Arabidopsis thaliana: one gene and its partners. The protein of the gene in region 1 interacts with the protein of each later gene in a pairwise test. Each region holds a gene or a part of one and is shown in the gene's direction. Other genes may lie near its edges. The genes, in order: SWI3A, FCA and BSH.

The links.
Region 2: the proteins of SWI3A (region 1) and FCA interact in a two-hybrid assay, tested with the Arabidopsis thaliana proteins (one study listed by BioGRID).
Region 3: the proteins of SWI3A (region 1) and BSH interact in a two-hybrid assay, tested with the Arabidopsis thaliana proteins (one study listed by BioGRID).

Annotation. Positions count from the first base shown.
Region 1 is NC_003071.7:19,528,226-19,534,971, forward strand, and holds SWI3A (SWITCH/sucrose nonfermenting 3A), read left to right. Parts: upstream 1-3,721; 5' UTR 3,722-3,808; coding exon 3,809-3,866; intron 3,867-4,021; coding exon 4,022-4,542; intron 4,543-4,637; coding exon 4,638-5,084; intron 5,085-5,244; coding exon 5,245-5,384; coding exon of another isoform or gene 5,385-5,442; exon of another isoform or gene 5,443-5,469; coding exon 5,470-5,519; intron 5,520-5,605; coding exon 5,606-5,751; intron 5,752-5,849; coding exon 5,850-6,026; 3' UTR 6,027-6,246; downstream 6,247-6,746. Other genes in the region: AT2G47610 (Ribosomal protein L7Ae/L30e/S12e/Gadd45 family protein), read left to right, coding at 1,629-1,631, 1,956-2,000, 2,120-2,321, 2,480-2,778, 2,860-2,952, 3,045-3,176; AT2G47630 (alpha/beta-Hydrolases superfamily protein), read left to right, coding at 6,412-6,441, 6,584-6,680. UniProt on the Arabidopsis thaliana protein: Component of a multiprotein complex equivalent of the SWI/SNF complex, an ATP-dependent chromatin-remodeling complex, which is required for the positive and negative regulation of gene expression of a large number of genes.
Region 2 is NC_003075.7:9,211,182-9,217,731, reverse strand, and holds the start of FCA (flowering time control protein FCA), read left to right. Parts: upstream 1-2,906; 5' UTR 2,907-3,319; coding exon 3,320-3,653; intron 3,654-3,908; coding exon 3,909-3,979; intron 3,980-4,066; coding exon 4,067-4,145; exon of another isoform or gene 4,146-6,220; coding exon 6,221-6,303; intron 6,304-6,383; coding exon 6,384-6,435; intron 6,436-6,550. Other genes in the region: SPH1 (S-protein homologue 1), read left to right, coding at 1,597-2,052. UniProt on the Arabidopsis thaliana protein: Plays a major role in the promotion of the transition of the vegetative meristem to reproductive development. Plays a role in the regulation of flowering time in the autonomous flowering pathway by decreasing FLOWERING LOCUS C mRNA levels.
Region 3 is NC_003074.8:6,015,719-6,022,630, reverse strand, and holds BSH (transcription regulatory protein SNF5, putative (BSH)), read left to right. Parts: upstream 1-2,964; 5' UTR 2,965-3,039; coding exon 3,040-3,089; intron 3,090-3,184; coding exon 3,185-3,279; intron 3,280-3,388; coding exon 3,389-3,483; intron 3,484-3,823; coding exon 3,824-3,895; intron 3,896-4,007; coding exon 4,008-4,055; intron 4,056-4,137; coding exon 4,138-4,221; intron 4,222-4,324; coding exon 4,325-4,363; intron 4,364-4,488; coding exon 4,489-4,571; intron 4,572-4,673; coding exon 4,674-4,736; intron 4,737-5,218; coding exon 5,219-5,318; 3' UTR 5,319-5,419; downstream 5,420-6,912. Other genes in the region: IAA31 (indole-3-acetic acid inducible 31), read left to right, coding at 1,591-1,715, 1,813-2,024, 2,123-2,207, 2,296-2,350. UniProt on the Arabidopsis thaliana protein: Component of a multiprotein complex equivalent of the yeast SWI/SNF complex, an ATP-dependent chromatin-remodeling complex, which is required for the positive and negative regulation of gene expression of a large number of genes.

The DNA of each region.
Region 1 (6,746 bases):
ACTTTTCAATTATTTTCATTTATTAATTTTAACTCATTTAATATTAATTTGCATGATGTAAAATTAACTTACGAGATTACGTGGGTGATTGGTTTGTCTGTAACTGTAGATTTACTGCTGTAGAATTTTTGTTGTAGGTGTGATGACTGTAGCTGTAAGTTTTATTGCTGTAGAAATTAGACTGTAGGTTTTATTAATATAATTATTACTTAAAGAAATTGGGTAGAAATAAGATTTTGGTTGTATGTATTTTTAAACAAAAAAATATTATCGGGTCGGGTTCGGTTTGGGTTCGGGTTCGGGTTCGAGTTATTTATATATTGAAATATCAAATTTTGTGTGCAAATCTATTAAATTACTTGAAATTTTCAAAAATTCCCAAAACAACATGAGTAGTTTTGCTTGAATATATCTAAAAATACACAAAAATAACTAAAATATCCAAAAAAATTCTAATATTTTCTATATATAAGTATAAATATAACTAATATATACTTATATTTGAGATATGTTTGCATACCTATTCGGGTTTGGGTTTGAGTTTTTCGGGTTTTAAAGTTTATATCCGTTCGAGTATTTGAAAATTTCGGGTACACCCGCCTAAATAGGCGGACCTTATCTAGTATATATATACATTTGAACTATATTGTTTACTTTTTAGTTGATTTAGGCTATGTATGACATTGACATAAATCTACCTGTTATTTATCACGTGTAATTCGTGTAAAGTGTAAACTAGAAAGTTCAAATACGTATTTGTTTTTGTTCTGTTATATAGGATTGTCATAGTTGTAAATCTACAATTTATTACAACATGAATAAGTACACAAGCAATGTAATTGGATTTAATTGCTAAACTCTTTACATGGTCAATCTAAATTTGATAAGAAATACGTCACATATTACTAAGACTGATAGTTTTTTTGTTGTCACCAATTATTTTTGTTAAATTGACGAAAACAATTCCAAAAACTCAAATGTACAAAATCATACAGTCTCACAAACATCTCATAGAGAAAGATATAAATCTCCCATATGGGAACGATAACACGAGGTCGAAATACTATTCGTAAAACTAAAACGCCTTAGTTATAAATCGTTAGTTGTAACCGCGGTCGAGAATACATACAGATCCACGAAACTACTACTACACATGCTGCTGAATTGGAATTTGGAAAAGACCATCTTCTTTAGGAAGAGCTCACCCAATGAGTGACAAAGGTGTCGGTGGCTTGTTTTCTACCCATATGTATACATCAAATGGTAGTTTCATTAACGTTTGGTTTTGAGAAAAGTAAGACTTTGGCTAGTAGCTAGGTTCGTATATAATAAACTCTTTTGAGAAAGTTCATCACTGGTGGAAAATGTTAAACCGGTTTTTTCTCATTTTTTCCGCCATGTTAACCACCGGTTTAAAAAGACCGTAACACATTGAAAGATTAATAAGGGTATATTTGTAATTACGGTTTGCTGGCAATTTTTAATTATTATTTTAATTAGAGAAAATAGAGAAGCCCTATCAATGTACATGGTATATATATAAAAGGCAAAACCCTAGAAAACGATACTCTTCGACTCAGCCGTCCTTTCGCAGAAACCATTTGGAGTTGGAGCTTTGGACGACGACAATGGTATCATCTCTCTTCCTTCCATCTTCATTTCGTTTCATTTGGGATCTGTTAGTTGTTTGCTTTCATAGTAGAATCATCGAATTAGATCCTTCACGATAGAGTTAGTGTTTCCTGGATGCATTCTCGCTTGAAGATGAACACACATGGGTTTCGATTTCCTCTCGGTGGTAACACCATCATTGCTTATCTGCTTTGGATTTAGCTTTTGATAGATTTGGTAGTTGATATAGCTTATGAATCCATCTAGAAATTTGCGTAGAGAGCAATGTCACAAATGTTCTGTGGTTACTTTATCAATCTAATCACGCCACGATTTGGTTTTAGGCCCCGAAGAAAGGAGTGAAGGTAGCTGCTAAGAAGAAGACCGCGGTATGTTTCATTTCCAATTCTCTTCTTCTTTTTTAGGTTTTCGAACATTCAATTTGTTCTTTGTTGTTGTTTTTTTCTTTCTTGCTGAAGTTTTGTGTTTTGATTTCTGATTTCTCCAGGAGAAAGTTTCAAACCCTCTATTCGAGAGGAGGCCTAAGCAATTCGGTATTGGTGGAGCTTTACCTCCTAAGAAGGATCTCTCTCGCTACATCAAATGGCCCAAATCCATCCGTCTTCAAAGGCAAAAGAGGATCCTGAAGCAGAGGTTGAAGGTCCCTCCAGCTCTTAACCAATTCACCAAGACTCTTGACAAGAATCTTGGTATGTCTATTTCATTCTCAATCTACTCTTCAAACATTTACTACTTGCTGCTGTTAATTTATTATTGAAATATTTACCAGTTCTGGTAAATCTTGTGTTGCTGTAACCTTATAAGAAGACTTCGGTGCCTTATTTATATTCGTTATTGATAATTGCAGCTACCAGCCTCTTCAAGGTCCTTCTGAAGTACAGGCCAGAAGACAAAGCTGCCAAGAAGGAGCGTCTTGTAAAGAAGGCCCAAGCTGAAGCTGAGGGAAAGCCTTCTGAGTCTAAGAAGCCCATTGTAGTCAAATACGGCCTCAACCATGTGACCTACCTCATTGAGCAGAACAAGGCCCAACTTGTTGTTATTGCTCATGATGTCGACCCAATTGAGTTGGTTGTCTGGTTGCCTGCTCTGTGCAGGAAGATGGAAGTCCCGTACTGCATTGTCAAGGGCAAATCTCGTCTTGGAGCGGTATGTGTTGTGGGTGATTTCTCTCTAGTTTATAGCCACTAGCATGGAGAGTTAATCTTTATTTCTTTCTCTGACTTTCAGGTTGTTCACCAGAAGACTGCTTCTTGCTTGTGTTTGACCACTGTCAAGAACGAGGACAAGCTAGAGTTCAGCAAAATCCTGGAAGCTATCAAGGTAAATACTTCTTGTGACCAATAGAATGGTAGATTGTGTGAAACATATTGTTGGAGATTCTTATGATTGTGTTTTTGGGTTTTTGTCTATAGGCCAACTTCAATGACAAGTACGAGGAGTACAGGAAGAAATGGGGAGGAGGCATAATGGGATCTAAGTCTCAGGCAAAGACCAAGGCAAAGGAAAGAGTTATTGCAAAGGAGGCTGCCCAAAGGATGAATTAAGAGGCTAGCTTCTTTTGTTTGTGGTTTGCTCGGATTCGTAAAACTTAATAGAGCTTTTTGTTTAGCTGGTTCTTGAAGTACCTCTTTTTTAGTTGAACCCTTTATTATGGATGTTTTGCAATTTCTTGGGACAGTTTCAATGTTATTCAAGCTGCTGGATCCTCTTTGGTCTCTCAACCACTTAAAACTTGACAGTGTGAAATTTTAGCCAAATGCTTATTGCATTCTGGAAAGAGTTATAAGTTTAATTCTCAAATTCTTTTACAGTTCATCTCATAATGATGTGCGTAATTTTTGGTCTTTATGGTTCGATGTTGGAGCAACCATATCCCTAACAACTAGAGTTATATAAGTTCATTAAAATTTGTAGCTGAAGACCAAAAAGTTAATAGTAATAAGTGGGCTTGACGAAATAAAGTTAACAACAAGTGGGCTGATAACTAGATAACAAAGTGGGCTGATAAAATAAAGATTGGGCCCAGATTTTAAATTGAGTTTTATTATAATTGACCCAGCTTCGGGCAAGTTTTCGCTTTTGACCCTTAACTAATTATTCTCCGTGTGGTTTGGATTTGGCGATTGGCAATAGATTCATCAGAGGTTTTTGATATTGGAGGGAATCGGTAACGGGCATGGAAGCCACTGATCCAAGCGCAGAGATCGAGCTCTACACCATTCCTGCTCAATCCAGTATGTCTTCTCTTACCCTCGCCATGCTTTTAGATCTCTAGGGTTTCTTCTTCTACTCTTTTTACTCGCTCAACTGTTTCCGTCTCTTAGGTTTCTGCTTTCTATGGTTTGTTTTCTTTGCAATTGATTTGGGGATTTGTCTTGTTCTTTACAAGGTTGGTTCTTATGGGATGATATACACGAAATTGAAAGACGCGAGTTTGCGGAGTTCTTCACTGAGAGCTCAATCACTAGAACCCCCAAAGTTTACAAGGAGTACCGAGATTTCATTATCAATAAGTTTAGAGAGGACACTTGTCGGAGACTCACCTTCACCAGTGTCCGCAAGTTTCTTGTTGGCGATGTCAATTTGCTCCAGAAAGTTTTTCTCTTCCTCGAAAAATGGGGATTGATCAATTTTAGCTCTTCCCTGAAGAAAAATGACCATCTATTGTCCGTGGATAATGCTAAAATAGAACAAGGGACTCCTGCTGGAATTCGAGTTACTGCAACCCCTAATTCTCTTAGGCCTATAACCGCACCGCCCCTTGTTGAGGAAAGAGTTGAGACTGGCATCAAAGTACCACCGCTTACCTCTTATTCAGATGTTTTCAGTGATTTGAAGAAGCCGGATCATGTATTGGTTTGTGCGCATTGTGGAGAACGTTGCGATTCTCCTTTCTATCAACATAACAAGGTAGTTTTTTTTTGCTTTTTTTCGATTAGCATATTTCATACTCTCTAGTCTGTTTTGTTTATGCTTCTTTTTTTTTTGACATATGATGTTGGCAGGGTATAGTCAACATATGCGAAAAGTGTTTCAAGAATGGAAACTATGGGGAGAACAACACTGCAGATGATTTTAAGTTGATTGGGAATTCAGCTGCAGCTGTGTGGACAGAGGAAGAGATCCTCCTCTTGCTAGAATCTGTGCTGAAACATGGAGATGATTGGGAACTCATTTCACAAAGTGTTTCTACCAAGAGTAGACTAGATTGCATTTCTAAACTCATTGAGCTCCCGTTTGGAGAGTTTCTGATGGGTTCTGCTTCTGGAAGACTCAATCCCTCTATCCTCACCGAGGATGAAAACACGGAACAGGTGCAAACTGATGGGCAGGAACATGAGGAAACAGAGACAAGGGAAGAAAAAGAAGATCGCGTGAATGAAGATGAGCCTCCAGCAAAAAGGAAACGTGTTGCACTGATATCAGAGGGTGATAGTTCACTTATGAAACAGGTGAATGTTTGGTTAAACTATATGCCTTGTGTTCATTATTTTCCATATGAGTGTAACATTCGGGTTCTTCTCTGACCTTTAACCGTCGCAAAGAATGCCCTTTTTAACTCCACTGGAAAAGAATGTTCAAGAGATAACATGTTTACATATTGCACAACAGGTCGCTGCCATGGCAAGTAAAGTTGGTCCATCTGTCGCAACTGCTGCTGCAAAAGCTGCACTTGCAGCTCTTTGTGATGAAGCCTCATGTCCAAAAGAGATTTTTGACACTGATGACTACAGCAATTTCACAGTTGATAGGTTCGATTCTCTAAGCCCTCAATTTGCTTGTGGTTTGGCTTCTCATGTCCTACACTAATCTCAAGATACAAAACTTTGCTCACAGAGCCAATGGAGAGAAAGATACAGATATGGAGGAACAGCAAGAAGAGAAAGGTAAATTGTGTTGTGATTCAATCTGCATTCCTAGGTTTATAATGAAAGCTCAAGGCTTAAGATTTGGAATCGTTATATATTTGCAGACGGGCCTCAGGGTCTACCTGTAGCGTTAAGGATAAGAGCGTCTGTGGCAACAGCTCTAGGAGCTGCGGCTGCACAAGCGAAAATACTGGCTGATCAAGAAGAAAGAGAAATGGAACAGTTAGCTGCGACAGTAATAGAACAACAGGTTGGTTGTAACTTGTAACAACATTAAAACATTTGTGTCTGTTCCACTGTGTTTGTGTCTTGAACCGGACATGTTTTGCTTCTCTTTGTTGTACTCAGCTGAAGAAACTGCAGAGCAAGTTGAAGTTTCTAGACGACTTGGAATCGATAATGGATGAAGAAGAGAAAGTGATAGAGGGTGTAAAGGAAACAATCATCCAAGAGAGGGTTAGCGTTTTGCAATGCGCGTTTAGAAGCGGTATTACCAAACGTTGGGATCATACGTACGTGAAATGATCTTCTTCTTTCATTCGTACTTTTTTTTTCTCTTGGGGTAGAGTTGTTTTCTCATTCCTTATGGATTTGTTATGTTGACTTTTGAGGATTATATGTATTTAGTATTAATGTGTTTTATTGACTTAATGAGGAGAGTAGGTTTAGGTTACATACCTCTTTTGTCGATATGTCTGACCAATGGATGGGTCTCTCTACTAATTCACACGCGCCCAGTGTGACGTCAAATAAATAAAATTCCGAAAACATTTTCTGAGCTTTCCATAATTTGGAAAAAAGTGAATTGAAAAAAAGAACAGTGACACTCTTGTTTCTATAAATTGGTGAGACCGTCCTCAAAACCCCTTCGTCACCTTCAGTGTCTCTCTCTCAAGATCTAGCTCCGGTCATGAAGTCGTCGGAATTCCAATACCACGAGGTTCTCTCTCTCTCTCCCTCTCTCTGCTTAGAGATTTTAGATGTAGTAGTAATAGTTTAACAGGAGAGTGAAGATGTCAAGAGGTGTTGAGATGATTGATTAGATCTTTGAATAAACAAATATGTGTATGAATTGGTGACAGGAATACGTGAGAAATTCAAGAGGTGTAGAGTTGTTCGCATGTAGATGGATCCCATCTTCTTCGTCTTCTCCCAAAGCTCTGGTTTTCCTCTGCCATGGTTGCAGTTATTTCCTTATTATTTCTAAAAGCCGCTTTCTTCATTACACATAATAAAACTGAACAA
Region 2 (6,550 bases), on another chromosome or scaffold:
TTATGTTGAAGAAAATAATATATAGCACTATTTTCACTTTAACCATATACTTACTGGTTTATATAATCTCAACATTATCATCTTTAAACTTGGTTTAGGATAGAAATTTATTTCTGAAGAGTGTGAGTGTGATACATTGTTGATAAGGTTGATAAGAAAAGTACTTTGACACTAAGAAATAAGAATACTTGTTGAATTTGTTGAATGGATGAGTGAGTGCTTAGTAAATTAGAAACTAAATTTATCAAAACATAATATTTAATAAAACAAAACAAAACAAAAAAAATCGAAAATATCTGTAGGATAGCGTAAATAATCACCTAGGTAATTTAATTTTGCCATTCATGGAGTCAAGAGAGCAATGAAACACAAGAATGCAAAGAAAAAGCATTTGCTTAATGAAGTCATTTTGAGAAACTTCCTCCTTTCTAACGATCTCAGTTCCAAACCAACCGTCAATTAATCTCTAGATCTATTGAAAGAGATTGTTCGAAATTCTTCGAACAACACCAAACTCCGAGGAAACTCCACCACTATATACACCTAACTTGATGTAGTATGAACTTAGCAAAAGGAAGTGACAAAGATGTTACTCCTCGAAAAAATTGGAGAGATCGTATAAGATTTAGAAGAAAAACGGAGACATCAACGGACACAGATGGAAGAGAGATCAATTTCGCTAGAGCGTATATACACAAAAGTATATAAAATTTTGATAAATCGAACAAAGCTAATAACGGAAATCCGATAAAAGGTCGGCAGTTATTTTGTTTGTATATACACGAAAATATATAAAATTCCAGACAAAACCGAAATCAAACTCCATCGACAAGAAACCTCTCCTCTCAGAAGGATTTGAGAGAGAGAAGAAACTATTTTTAGTCGTCGGATTTTAATTTCGGTGTACTGAAAATTGCTTTCTCTATCTGAAAAATATGAGTGAGAAAATAGAAAAAAAAACATATTTTTCTGGTCGAGTACTCTTTTGTTTAAAAATTTCTTTAATTTCGTAACTTTTTGTTTCTATGAATCAAAGATCAAAATTACAATTTGTTATTGGATTTCAACGAATCCAATATATTTTTATTAATCCCAATAAAGTAACGTAAAAGGCAGAATACTTTACTAGTGTTATAATTTATATAGTTAACTAAAATTAGGTTTATGAAATACTATTTTACTAGAAATAAATACCCGATCGACCATGTTGAATTATTATTTTTATACATTAAATTTTTCGATTATATACTTCGAATTCTTGGGTCATAATCTAAATCTAAAAACTAATAACTTTTAAAATTGATTCACATAATAAATTCAAAACTAATAGCTTACACCACAATATAAATTAGTATTTTTTAATCTTAATATATTATGCCACAATCATCTACGTACTTGGATTATTATATGTACTAACCTTTCAGCTTCATTTCTAATTAACATGCAATCACTTAAATGATTTGCAGCATGACTCTTCATTAATGCAATGTAATAACATCAAAATTTAATTAAACGTCAATTACCGTTTCACTCTTCCATTATAAAAAGAAGTAACAAAAAAGTTCTCCCTAAAGATTTTGCTTGCCTGAAAAAAGTATGAATTGCATCAAACAATTTCTCTTGGCAATTTGCTTTTCTCTGGCCCTAACATGTCAAGACCATGTCTTAGTCGGCGGCACCACCACGAGAGACATTATAGTCCCGAAGATTTCTGAGTGGCAAGTCACGGTTGTTAACGGTTTGACAACTGGTGAAACTCTTTTCATCCATTGTAAATCTAAAGAAGATGATCTAGGTGAAATTAATCTGAAGTTTAGAAATAGATTTTCTTGGAACTTCGGAGAAAATATGCTTCACTCAACTTTTTTTTGGTGCTATATGAACAAAGATAATGGTCATATGAATGTAAACGTGTTTTGGGATGATGTTATCTTGTTCCATAGATGCGGTTGGAAGAATTGCATTTGGACTGCAAAAACTGATGGCCTTTATCTTTGGAATTCAGCGAGCGGTGAAGATGTATTGTCAAGAAAATGGGAAGTTGGATGGTGAAGCCATATTTTTGCTTTTTGGTAATTTTTTAGTACATGTATCTTGTTGTTTTTGGCAAAAAAAAAATTGAAATAATAAAAAACATTTGTTTTAACTTTCTCTCTTATTTTGTGTATTTTTCATCAATGATAGATTTTTTGTTTTAGTTCTTTATTTATAGGTCATTTAATTATTAGATTAATTTTCTGAGATAATAAGATCATAGATTAAATAACAATATTGTGTTTGTGATATATAGAGATTACATTTTACACTTATATATATTGGTAAGATTTCTTTTTGCTTTCAAACCATTAAAAACCTGTTAAACGATTAACTTGACTCAAGACAAAGCCATTGATTATTGACTCATGAATCTAGTGACTCATGATGAAGGAGACGAACAGTAAATATTCATTTGATTATTTTAGGTAAAAGGTAGTTCAGACCTAGTCATATATCCTCTAAATTCATATAGTGATGCAAGTATTTTGCATTACTTAGAACTTTATATTATTGATCACCCAACACATGATTTAATAAACGCCATGAAATGCATGTACTATATCAAAATGTTTCTGAAGCATATAGTTGACATGAGAATTTTGGATTGGACTTAAGAATGTGAGAGTTACCTGAAATGTCAATTTTTTTCCTTTTGTTAACGAAAACTCATTGGAACAATTGTATCCCCCTTTTGGCAGTATATAAATATATTGATGGCCCAAGTAGCTGTATTTTTCGTTATCAGCCAAGACTCAATAAAGTCTACCGGTCCAAATTTCAACTGAATCACCGGTCCAACCACTATTACCGTAACTAGACCGCTTTTTCTTTTTTACATTCGGACAAAAAAATCAAAATTTCGAGCAACTAAATTGATCTCATCTTCAATCAAATTCATCATCTTCGATACTCGTTTCTTCTCTCTTTGGTTTCATACAGATCCCAAATTTCTAGGGCTCCTAGTCCTTTGATTTCTTCGACTGGAATCGCAATTCCCCACTACGTCAAGCTGGACAGACACCGAAGGGATCGCCATGAGAGTGGCGGCTACGAGGATTCCTACCATAACCACCGAGCCCATCCCAGAGGTCCATCTCGTCCCTCAGATTCACGCTTCGAAGAGGATGATGATGATTTTCGCCGCCACCGTCGTCGTCGTGGAAGCAGCCCTAGCAATTATCGAATTGGAATTGGGGGCGGAGGAGGAGGTAATGGTGGTCGACGCTGGGAAGATGACACTCCTAAGGATTTTGATGGTCCCGGAGATGGAGGTTTCCGGCAGATGAATGGTCCCCCAGATAGAGTAGATTTTAAGCCTATGGGTCCTCACCATGGTGGAAGTTTTCGGCCTATGGGGTTTGCCTACGATGATGGTTTTCGTCCAATGGGTCCTAACGGTGGTGTGGGAGGAGAAGGGACACGGTCAATTGTTGGAGCTCGGTATAACTATCCCGCGAAGTATCCTCCTTCAGAGAGTCCAGACAGGAGGAGATTTATCGGTAAAGCAATGGAGTCTGATTATTCTGTAAGACCGACTACACCGCCGGTCCAGCAGCCTCTTTCCGGTCAGAAAAGAGGGTATCCTATCTCAGACCATGGCAGCTTTACTGGAACTGGTAAGCATGAGTTCACTCTTCTTTCTTCTATGTATATTTATTCTTGTAGTCTGTTAAGGTTCCTGAGTGTCTCTTATTTTTGTGGGAATCAATGATTAGAGTATTGAAAGGTAGTATGGTTGTTATGTTACTGTATTGTTGAAGGTTTTTCATGGGATCGACTCTAGAGGATCCTTTCGATTTTCCCATGTATGTGATAATCAAAACTATATGCCATCTTCATGTGTATCCTTATCTGGTTAATTTGATTTGCAGATGTCTCTGATCGTAGCAGTACAGTCAAGCTTTTTGTTGGATCTGTACCAAGGACAGCTACAGAAGAAGAAGTGAGTTAATCTTGGAAATCATTGTTATCTATATACTCATTACTGAGAACCTTTTCTAAATTTTTTCTGTTGGTTTTCATATTGTAGATCCGTCCCTATTTCGAACAGCATGGAAATGTTCTGGAGGTTGCTCTGATCAAGGACAAGAGAACTGGACAGCAGCAAGGTATGTCAATCTCCATTTTATTAGGAAATAGTCGTGAATTATACTTTTTAAAATTTCAGGTCTCCCTGAAAAGGCTGATGGGAAGCAACCCCAGTCTCATCATTGGCCTCCAATTGTTTGCAACAATTTTCGGGCTTATTGCTTATGCTTGCCAGCGTCTTATCTGTGTTCGATTCTGTCACAGAAGAAGGCTACCTGTGCTAAGAAAGGGTTTATGTACTTATGTTGGGCAAATAGATTTCGCTACTTGTGTGTATTCTAGAACTTTAGATGTGTTTGAAAAGTGTAGAATTTATTGAGGGTGTTTTAGAGTTGGAGTTAATGTACAGAGAACTGAATTTTGCTGTTGCCTTTATAGTGGGAATTGGTTATAAGAACATCGCTATTTTCCTCTCCTATTGAAATTCATTTTCTTTACTCTTCCTCTAGATGGATTGAAGATGTTGTGTATGGTCTTGACAGGATGAATGTATTTTTTTAAGTTGGTAGTTTGATAAGGACATGAGGTTCAAAAGATGGTTTCTTGATTTGCCACTCCTGCTGGTCAAAGATTTGGCCGTCTTTCTAATTTTATCATGTTGGAGGTTTGGCGTCTTCATTTTCTTTCATATCAATTTATGGGTGTGCTGTCTATTGGTTAATGATGGCATTCCTTTTACCTTTTTGGATGAGTGATGCTGGAATGAATGCGTTTCTCCTTTTCTTTTGTTGATGGCCTGAGGAACTATGATGGCTATATTTCTTTCCACTCTCTTTGAATGGCCTGAAATGTGTGCTTTCTGTATGGTCGTCCCTCTCAATTTCTTGGATGGCTTGTGATGTGATATACCATCTCTCGTCATAGGTGAATGAATGATTTGTTTAGTAGTTCTTATGTATGTATTTTGTATGTTCCCACGTCTCTATTCCTTGGATGGCTTGTGATGTGATATACCATCTCTCGTCATAGATGAATGAATATTTTGTTGAGTAGCTCTTATGTCTGTATGGTGGCCCTTGCAGTGCTGATCGATATTTATGTGGAAGAAATGTTTGATGATAGATTTTTTTTGTATGCTCCCTTTTCGCTAATCAAGCCTTTGTGCTTGCAAGGTGCAACTGTTATTTTATTATTGAATTTCCTGTTCTACTACTCCATTTAGTTCTGTCTCTATTTTGTCAGTGTGAAGAAATACTAGACGATGAATGGTGTGTTTGTACGTGCATAGTTATTTATAAATTCTTGACTTTCCAAGAAGTTATTATTTCTATAACTGCTACACCTTTGTGGATGGCAGAACAAATGCATCTGATTGTGGTGACATAAACACTTTTGATCGCGGTTGAATGTACTAGATTCCATACAACTCTTTCTTCAGCCTTGTGAAATATTATTATGTTAGGTGGTGCAAACATATGGAAGGAACCTGATTGTTTTAGTTTCTTAGAATAGTTTCTGATGTTAATACAGCATGTTGACTTCACTCTCTTGCCCTTGATCAATCAGCATCAGGCAGGGGCCTAATTATGTATTACATGAAGCAATCGTATTCTTTTCTGAATTAGATTTTTTTCCAATGAGTTATCTTGCCCATAACTGTAGTTCTTTATTTGAAGTCTTCAAATGCTTGATGTATGGTGACGAAAATGTGTATATGTTTTGGTTTTGATTATCCGCTACTCATCAATTATTGAGATTCTTACATACTGAATCCGTTACTTTGGACCTATAGTTATGTTTTATGTTGCTAATTAACTTGTACATGTTTCTAGATTTTCTTTCAAATGGATCCTGCTTGGACAAATGCAGCCACCCTTTGTCTGAAAGGCCCTCTTGTAGATATGTTATCTGCAGATACTGACTGTGTTCAATTTTTTAATATTTGTTTTTGCCATATTCTCCATTTGAAGACATTAATTTATTCTCTCCAACAACTTTACATCAATATTTAAGTGGAGGCTGTCAGACATGTCTTATGATTTTCCTACTGAACTTATGTGCTTTGAGTAGTACATCTTGTTACTAGTACAATTTGATGGTAGAAGGAAAAGTTGAACCCTGAAACAGATAGCTTAAGTATCAGTCTTTAATGCAGGCTGTTGTTTTGTAAAATATGCAACTTCGAAAGATGCGGATAGAGCCATCAGAGCACTGCACAATCAGATCACTCTTCCTGGGGTAATTACCCTGAGGCTTTCTCTTATCAAGAACAGGAAACTATAGGTTGTTTCACCTTTTATAATTTTGTTGATTCCCAGGGAACTGGTCCTGTTCAAGTTCGATATGCTGACGGGGAGAGAGAACGCATAGGTAATCAACTTCCACACAGAGTATCTAATGTGGCTGTCATTGTCTAGTGTTCATAGCCAAGACCATACGCTGCATAAGTTCAGATTACAAAAATTAAGAAAATGTGGGAAATGAT
Region 3 (6,912 bases), on another chromosome or scaffold:
GCCACGTTAATTTAGGAGTACATATCATGATATTGATCTCTCTTGCTATAACTTTTTGGCACAATACTATTGCATGCCTCTCTATATTACTTCAACAAAACGTTTAAATTTACCATGGTTAGAACTTAGAAGTAATCGAGCTGCAAACCATGGTGATCATATTTTTTCTCGTTCGCATGCTCGGTCTTAATATATTGAGAGTTATGGCCAAAATTTGAATACCATTTTAAGAAACTTCAGAAAATCAGGAGTTTGATTATTATCTTTGGTTCTTACTTACTTCAACGAAAACTAATGACAAAACTCTTTTAAGTCGAGGTATGCGAGTAATAACTCCTTGGACATATTTTTTTGATAAAAGTTTAATTGATTATAGACTTATAGTAGTCTTAATTATTATTATAAGTATAAAGAGGAGTAAACATTCATCATTAGACTACTAGACATTATAAAGTTATATATATCGAAATTCTAACAAGAAGGATCCCTAGAGACCAGACATGCATGTCCAAAGACAGATCGTATAATAGCTAATAGGAGTCTTATCGATCCAACATCCAAGGTAGGCTTTATTACAAAGTAACTATTAGAGTGCACTTCCCATGATGATTCTAGAATCTAATATTATTATCAATACAGCCAATGAGCATTATGTGATGTAACAATTTATGTCTACTTTATATTTTGAAGTTATCATAAATCAACGAATTCTATTTTGATTTTCAAAAAAGAGTAAAAGATTTGGGCTTCTAAGAGAGACAATCCACAAAGCTAAAGAGACATTAACAGGAAACGTATAGTTAAAGAAAAGAACACTGTCTGCTCCACAAAAACAATATACACAAAACTCTTCAAGTCTACCTTATTTTTATTGGTTCTGCAATTTTCAATGGTCTGTTACATTAATGTGTCATAAGAGACAATTGAGTTTTCTTATCAACAGAAGGGTCTAAAAAATTGATCCCCCAAGTTCATAGTCTATAGACTCAGTTTTTTTCTTTCAAATATTGATGTGTAAGAAAGTGAAAGTGATGTGATGCTCTGTTTCTGTTTACGGCTAGACAATAAAGCCTTTTTTGGCCCTTATCTCTCCTAATTAAAGAATCTGAGCAGTTGAGAAATTAAAATCAAAGCCTTAACAGATTAACTCCAACATCATTTAGACACACTTTCCTTGGATACCACCTTTTTACGGAAACTTCGAATCTTACATGTAAACAAATCTCAAAACCATAATTTCACATTTTTACTACTAACTAACTCCAAAGATCTAAACCCATGAATTAAGTATCTAATCGGGTAATTATTACAGTGGTTTTCAGAAATCAATGTGTGTTCATATTTAGAAGGTTGAAAGTTCATAGTTAAATGTGGGGAACCTTATGTTCCTATTATTTATTTATATTAAATTTCAAAGTCGATTAAATCAATTTTTAAATTCAAAATCTATGCAATAGAATCACCTACTAGTCCTTTTTTGTTTAACTAGACAGAGAGAAATAGAAATAGAGAGAGAGAGACATGAAGAGCACTCTCAATAGAGAAGAGAAGGAAGCATGAAGCTAGCTCTGCAGCTTCAAGGTCTCATTAATGGAGGTCTCTAACTCTTGTTCTTCATTTTCTTCATCCTCTGTCGACAGTACTAAACCTTCTCCTTCTGAATCTTCTGTTAATCTCTCCCTTAGTCTCACATTTCCTTCTACTTCTCCACAAAGGTCTTATTCACATCACTTCTCTGTTTTTTCCTATGTTCTGTTTTTGCTCTGTTTTCTTTTGTTCACATTTGTGTTTTAAATCTTTATTTTTTTGTAGAGAAGCAAGACAAGATTGGCCACCGATAAAGTCTAGATTAAGAGATACACTAAAGGGTCGTCGTCTTCTTCGTCGTGGTGATGACACTTCTCTCTTTGTTAAGGTTTATATGGAAGGTGTTCCCATTGGAAGAAAACTCGACCTTTGCGTATTCTCAGGCTACGAGAGTCTATTAGAAAATCTCTCTCACATGTTCGATACTTCAATCATCTGTAAGTAATTAATGAACAACACATAATTCCGTAAAAACAACATTCAACTAAATTCAAACAGTTTGAAGTATATCCATGCATTGTCTTGGCTATAACAGGCGGTAATCGAGATCGAAAACATCATGTTTTGACATATGAAGACAAGGATGGAGATTGGATGATGGTCGGAGATATTCCATGGGAGTATGAATCTTATATCTTGATCTTACATTGGTATAATTTCCTCGGTTATAGCTATTCTCTAATTTTTGAAATCGATGTTTTTGTTTAGTATGTTTCTTGAAACCGTGAGAAGACTAAAGATCACGAGACCGGAGAGGTATTAAAACTTGGATCGGTCAAGGCTGTGATTGCGCAGTTACGAGACGTGTAAGATTTAGGCATTGATGAAGAGACTTGAGGCGGGACGGAGCTATTGCTGCATATTGCAACAAAGGCCTTGAAGAAGTTGGAGAATTGATTGATGCATATATTTATTTATATGACACCTTTGAGTGTGTTTTTTCTTATAAATAAATCACAATATCCAAGACTTCTCTTTTTTGTTCTGAATAATAATAATGCAAAGATTTTTTATATGTTTGTAATCGTGTGTTTCTTCGAATGTGTTACATGACTAGGAAAAAAGTACACGAACGTTGTTATGGGGAGCACGAACATGGAATAGAGGAACGTTGTCAGGAAGAGAATGATTCTCTTTGATCTGCCGGCAGCCGTCTCGTTGGTTGTCACCAATGTACAATTTTAATGTTGAGCCCATTTAAAGCCCACTAAATGACTAACAAGCTCGTTTAAAGCCCAAATGCTGCAATTGATCGTAGGATCGGATCCAGATAATTCGTCCCAAAATGGGAAAATTCCAAATTAGAGGTGAAATGTGTAAAGACATTAGAATATAAGGGTGATTCTGAAATAAATTAAGCTAGCGCCGGAAAAAGATCGAGAAATTGAAATTTCCCACACTCTCTCGCTGACTCTCTTCGAAACTCAATTTGTGAAATTTGGGGGTTTAAGGATGAAGGGTTTAGTGTCTACTGGTTGGAAAGGTCCCGTCAAGTTCAGGATGTAAGTTTCGTCGCTTCCTCTACTTTGTTTGTTTTGAAATCGAAATCGAGTTCATGTGTTTTTGTTTTTTCTGATGAATCGATTTGTAATCGGAGCTATAGGCCCACTGCTGAAAACTTGGTACCTATTCGATTGGACATTCAATTCGAAGGTCAGCGTTACAAAGATGCTTTCACTTGGAACCCTTCAGGTTTCTCTCTTAAAAACCCTACCTTTTTTTTTGTTTTCCATCTTCTCGCATCTTATTACAGTAGCAGTGTATGTGATTCACTGATTCTTGTTTTTGGTTTTGGATACAGACCCGGATAATGAAGTCGTTATCTTTGCCAAAAGAACTGTTAAAGACTTGAAACTTCCCTATGCATTTGTCACTCAGATTGCCCAATCTATTCAGGTTGTTTCTAAACTAGTTCACACTGACCTATCTTTAGTTTTTCTTCTGCTCTGATTTTGTTGTTAGTTCTTTTGCTTGTCATAGAGATGAGCTTAAATTTAAGGTCACCTATTAGTCTTAAACCAATCACACTTTCGACTTATTGTTTTTAACTCTTTAGGTTTTTTTACTCGAGAAGAGGCCTGTTTATAGCATTGTACTTTGGGATGTATATCTGTAAGACTGTGCTTTTGTGATGAATGTACTCTTGCTTCAGTTATGTTCTGTTCTGTTTTTGTAAGTATTGGAATAATTTCTTCAGAAATCTCTACTTACATTGGTCAACTTCCTGCTTTATCAGTCTCAGCTCTCAGACTTTCGGGCTTATGAAGGACAAGACATGTACACTGGTGAAAAAATCATACCAATTAAGGTTTTATGACGCTAGATATCCTTATCCCTCTCTCTTTTGTCCATGAGTGATTTGTTGGAAAAAAAGAAGTTCTAGAAGCTGATAAGCTATCTTTCTTTCTTTTTTGTGCCAGCTTGATCTCCGAGTTAACCATACTCTCATCAAGGATCAGTTCTTATGGGTGAGAATACTTGGTGATTTTGAACAATTTCAACTATTGTTTGTACTCTTTTTCTCAGTGCAGCTTGATTGCCGTTTTGCAGGACCTAAACAATTTTGAGAGTGATCCTGAGGAATTTGCAAGAACCTTGTGCAAGGATTTAGGTGTTGAAGACCCTGAAGTTGGAGTAAGATAACCACTCAATTTTTTACATTTCATTATCTGAACTAATGAACCTAAGTTTCAAACGTTTGATACAAGTGATTTTTGGTTTCTCCTTCTCTCTGAAGCCTGCTGTTGCCTTTGCAATAAGGGAACAACTTTACGAGGTTAAAACTTTGATTGTAACTTTAAGCTACTCTCTCTGTATTTCTGTATACTCTATATATGTTTTCTATTTTGAACAAGAATGCCAAACTTACTGAGTTACCATGTCGTTGTTTTTGCTTGCCAGATTGCAATTCAAAGTGTGGCTTCAGCTAGGGAGAGTAGATTAAGCAAGAAAGGCCGCAGAGGATCTGATCATGGTTCAGCGAGGTATGTTCACGTTGCCCCTATTTGTCTATCCAAGTTACCTTGTGGTAATATTAGAGCCTAGCTCAAAAAATTCTAAAATAACTTTCCATCTTATATGTGCAGCAAGGCAAGTGGCCTGTCAATGGACTTAATGAAGTTATTCAGTTTTAAGTCCAGTGTAGTTCGGTAAGTGATTTTCTTACCCACTTAATGCATACATTTTCTCTGTTGCATTGTCTTCTTAAGATCTGTTGGACGACTGACTTCTAGCAGCTAGATCGTTTATAAGATAAGTTAACTTTGCGACACATCCTGAGCGTTTTTCTTACACATACTCTTGAATGCCACCTCTTCATGCATTATATCATTTGATAGTAGATTATCCCAATATTTGGAGCTGGTCCCTACTGAGATTGTTCTAATAGTAATTTCTGGTGATGTTACATGTTGTTATTGAACATAGAAAACCGAATCACTAGGTTGGAAATTGTTTGATTACAAAATAAACTCTGTGGAAATTGAAGAAGTTCTCTTCCTGCATTGCTTATCACTAAATGGGAGTTTTTCAAAAAATAAGATTTATGGACACGAACAAATTTGACTTGCAAGACCAAGCAAAAGCTATAACAGAATCCAAAAATAACAAATTTTGTCCATGATCTTGACAGGAAAAGGAAAGACTTGGATGTTTATGAACCAGTTGTGGATCTGCTAACAAGTGAGGAAGTTGATGCGCTTGAAGCCAGGGAAGAGAGACATGCAAGGTGAAGAGTTTCGTTTACATGTATAAATATTTCTTAGGGCAACACTCAAAATATGTTGTATCATGCTTAACTTGAGTTAATGATATTAAGACAATCTTTTATGAGACACATAATCCTTAAGATGCATCCGGTGTGTATGAGTGCCCTGGCCTAAGTATGAGATTTCGGTTTAGTAAACCTGGTTAGGTGAAACACCAGTGGGTGTGGAATGAAGAATCTTTAGATGATATAACCTCAATGGGACATGTTAGGTTTGCAGAGTTGAGTGAAACCATTTCTTCACTCTTTGATTAAGATGTTTCCCAAACTTTGAGCATGTTAAAGAATGTTAGAGAGAGAGTTAGAGGATTAAAAAAAATATAGTAATGAAAGAAAGAAAGAAAAATGAAGGAGATTCAAAGGACAAGACACGTTGTGAGAATCAAGTGACCCACTTGAGACTTTAATAAGATCTCATCATCAACCATTAACCTCACTGTCGATATACGGTCGTACTTTTTCTTCTATTCTCTTCTCTTTGCCCTTTTTTTTTTCTCTTTTTCTTGATTCAATGATTGGGTCCCTCTCTAAGCTCAAGCTGCTGTCATCTAAATTAATTAATATGCGAAAATAAAAATTATTGGGTTTATTTTTGTTGGAAGTTTTGTAATTTTGTGTAGAGATTATTGATCAGTTTTTGGTTGTGTACATTTATGAGTTGTACTTGTGCCCTATCCTTTGAAGGTTACATGGATAAACAAGTTAATGTCTTGAATCGGCTGAGTCTTTATTATAGAATCAATTTGATGAATAAGTTAAAAATTTGAAGCTGGTTTTAATATTCGACACCAATATAGCAATCAACCTAACTGAAATTGAAGAAAACTATGTTATACTTTGAGTTTCAACTTATATACTTCTCTAAATGACCAAAAGTTAAAAAAAGATCCATTTGTTTACATAAACTGAATCTAACCGAAATCAAACCAAAAAAAGATGTAGTTGTCCAGCTCTAATCAAGGTTGCAAGTTACAAATGTTTGTTATTCTCTTTGTGGCTATAAAAGGATTTGGGTCTACTTGAGAGACGAAATTGTTTTTTATTGACTGAGAAGAGTAATGACTAATGAGCATAAAGCCTGTACTCTTTATGTCTGTCCGAAGTTAGGAACGTCAACTCAGTCGATAGATTGTGTACATTGAGACAATATTAGACCGTTACCAAAAGTGCAAATTATCACTAACTTCTAAGTTCTTCTAAGAGAAAAGAAAAGAAATAATTCTATTTACTTATCATTATGTAGTTTACAATTTGTTAGAATCATTTTAGTTGGTCCAAACAAAATTAATGGTCGGTGGCTCGAGTTATTGTACTGTTACATTGGAACACATCATAGGTAATGAACTCAATAATGGTTTTTTTTTTTTTTCCTTCTGATTGATAATTTATGACATGTGCAACTTAAGTCAATACCTGACTTTACATTATGGAGAACTAATAACTTGAATTCTCATTCAAAATAATGCTAATCATCTCATACAAATGATATGTGAATTCAAGAAAGACATTTTTTCTCCAAATACAAAAAAACATTCCCACCGTGATTTACTCTTCAGGGA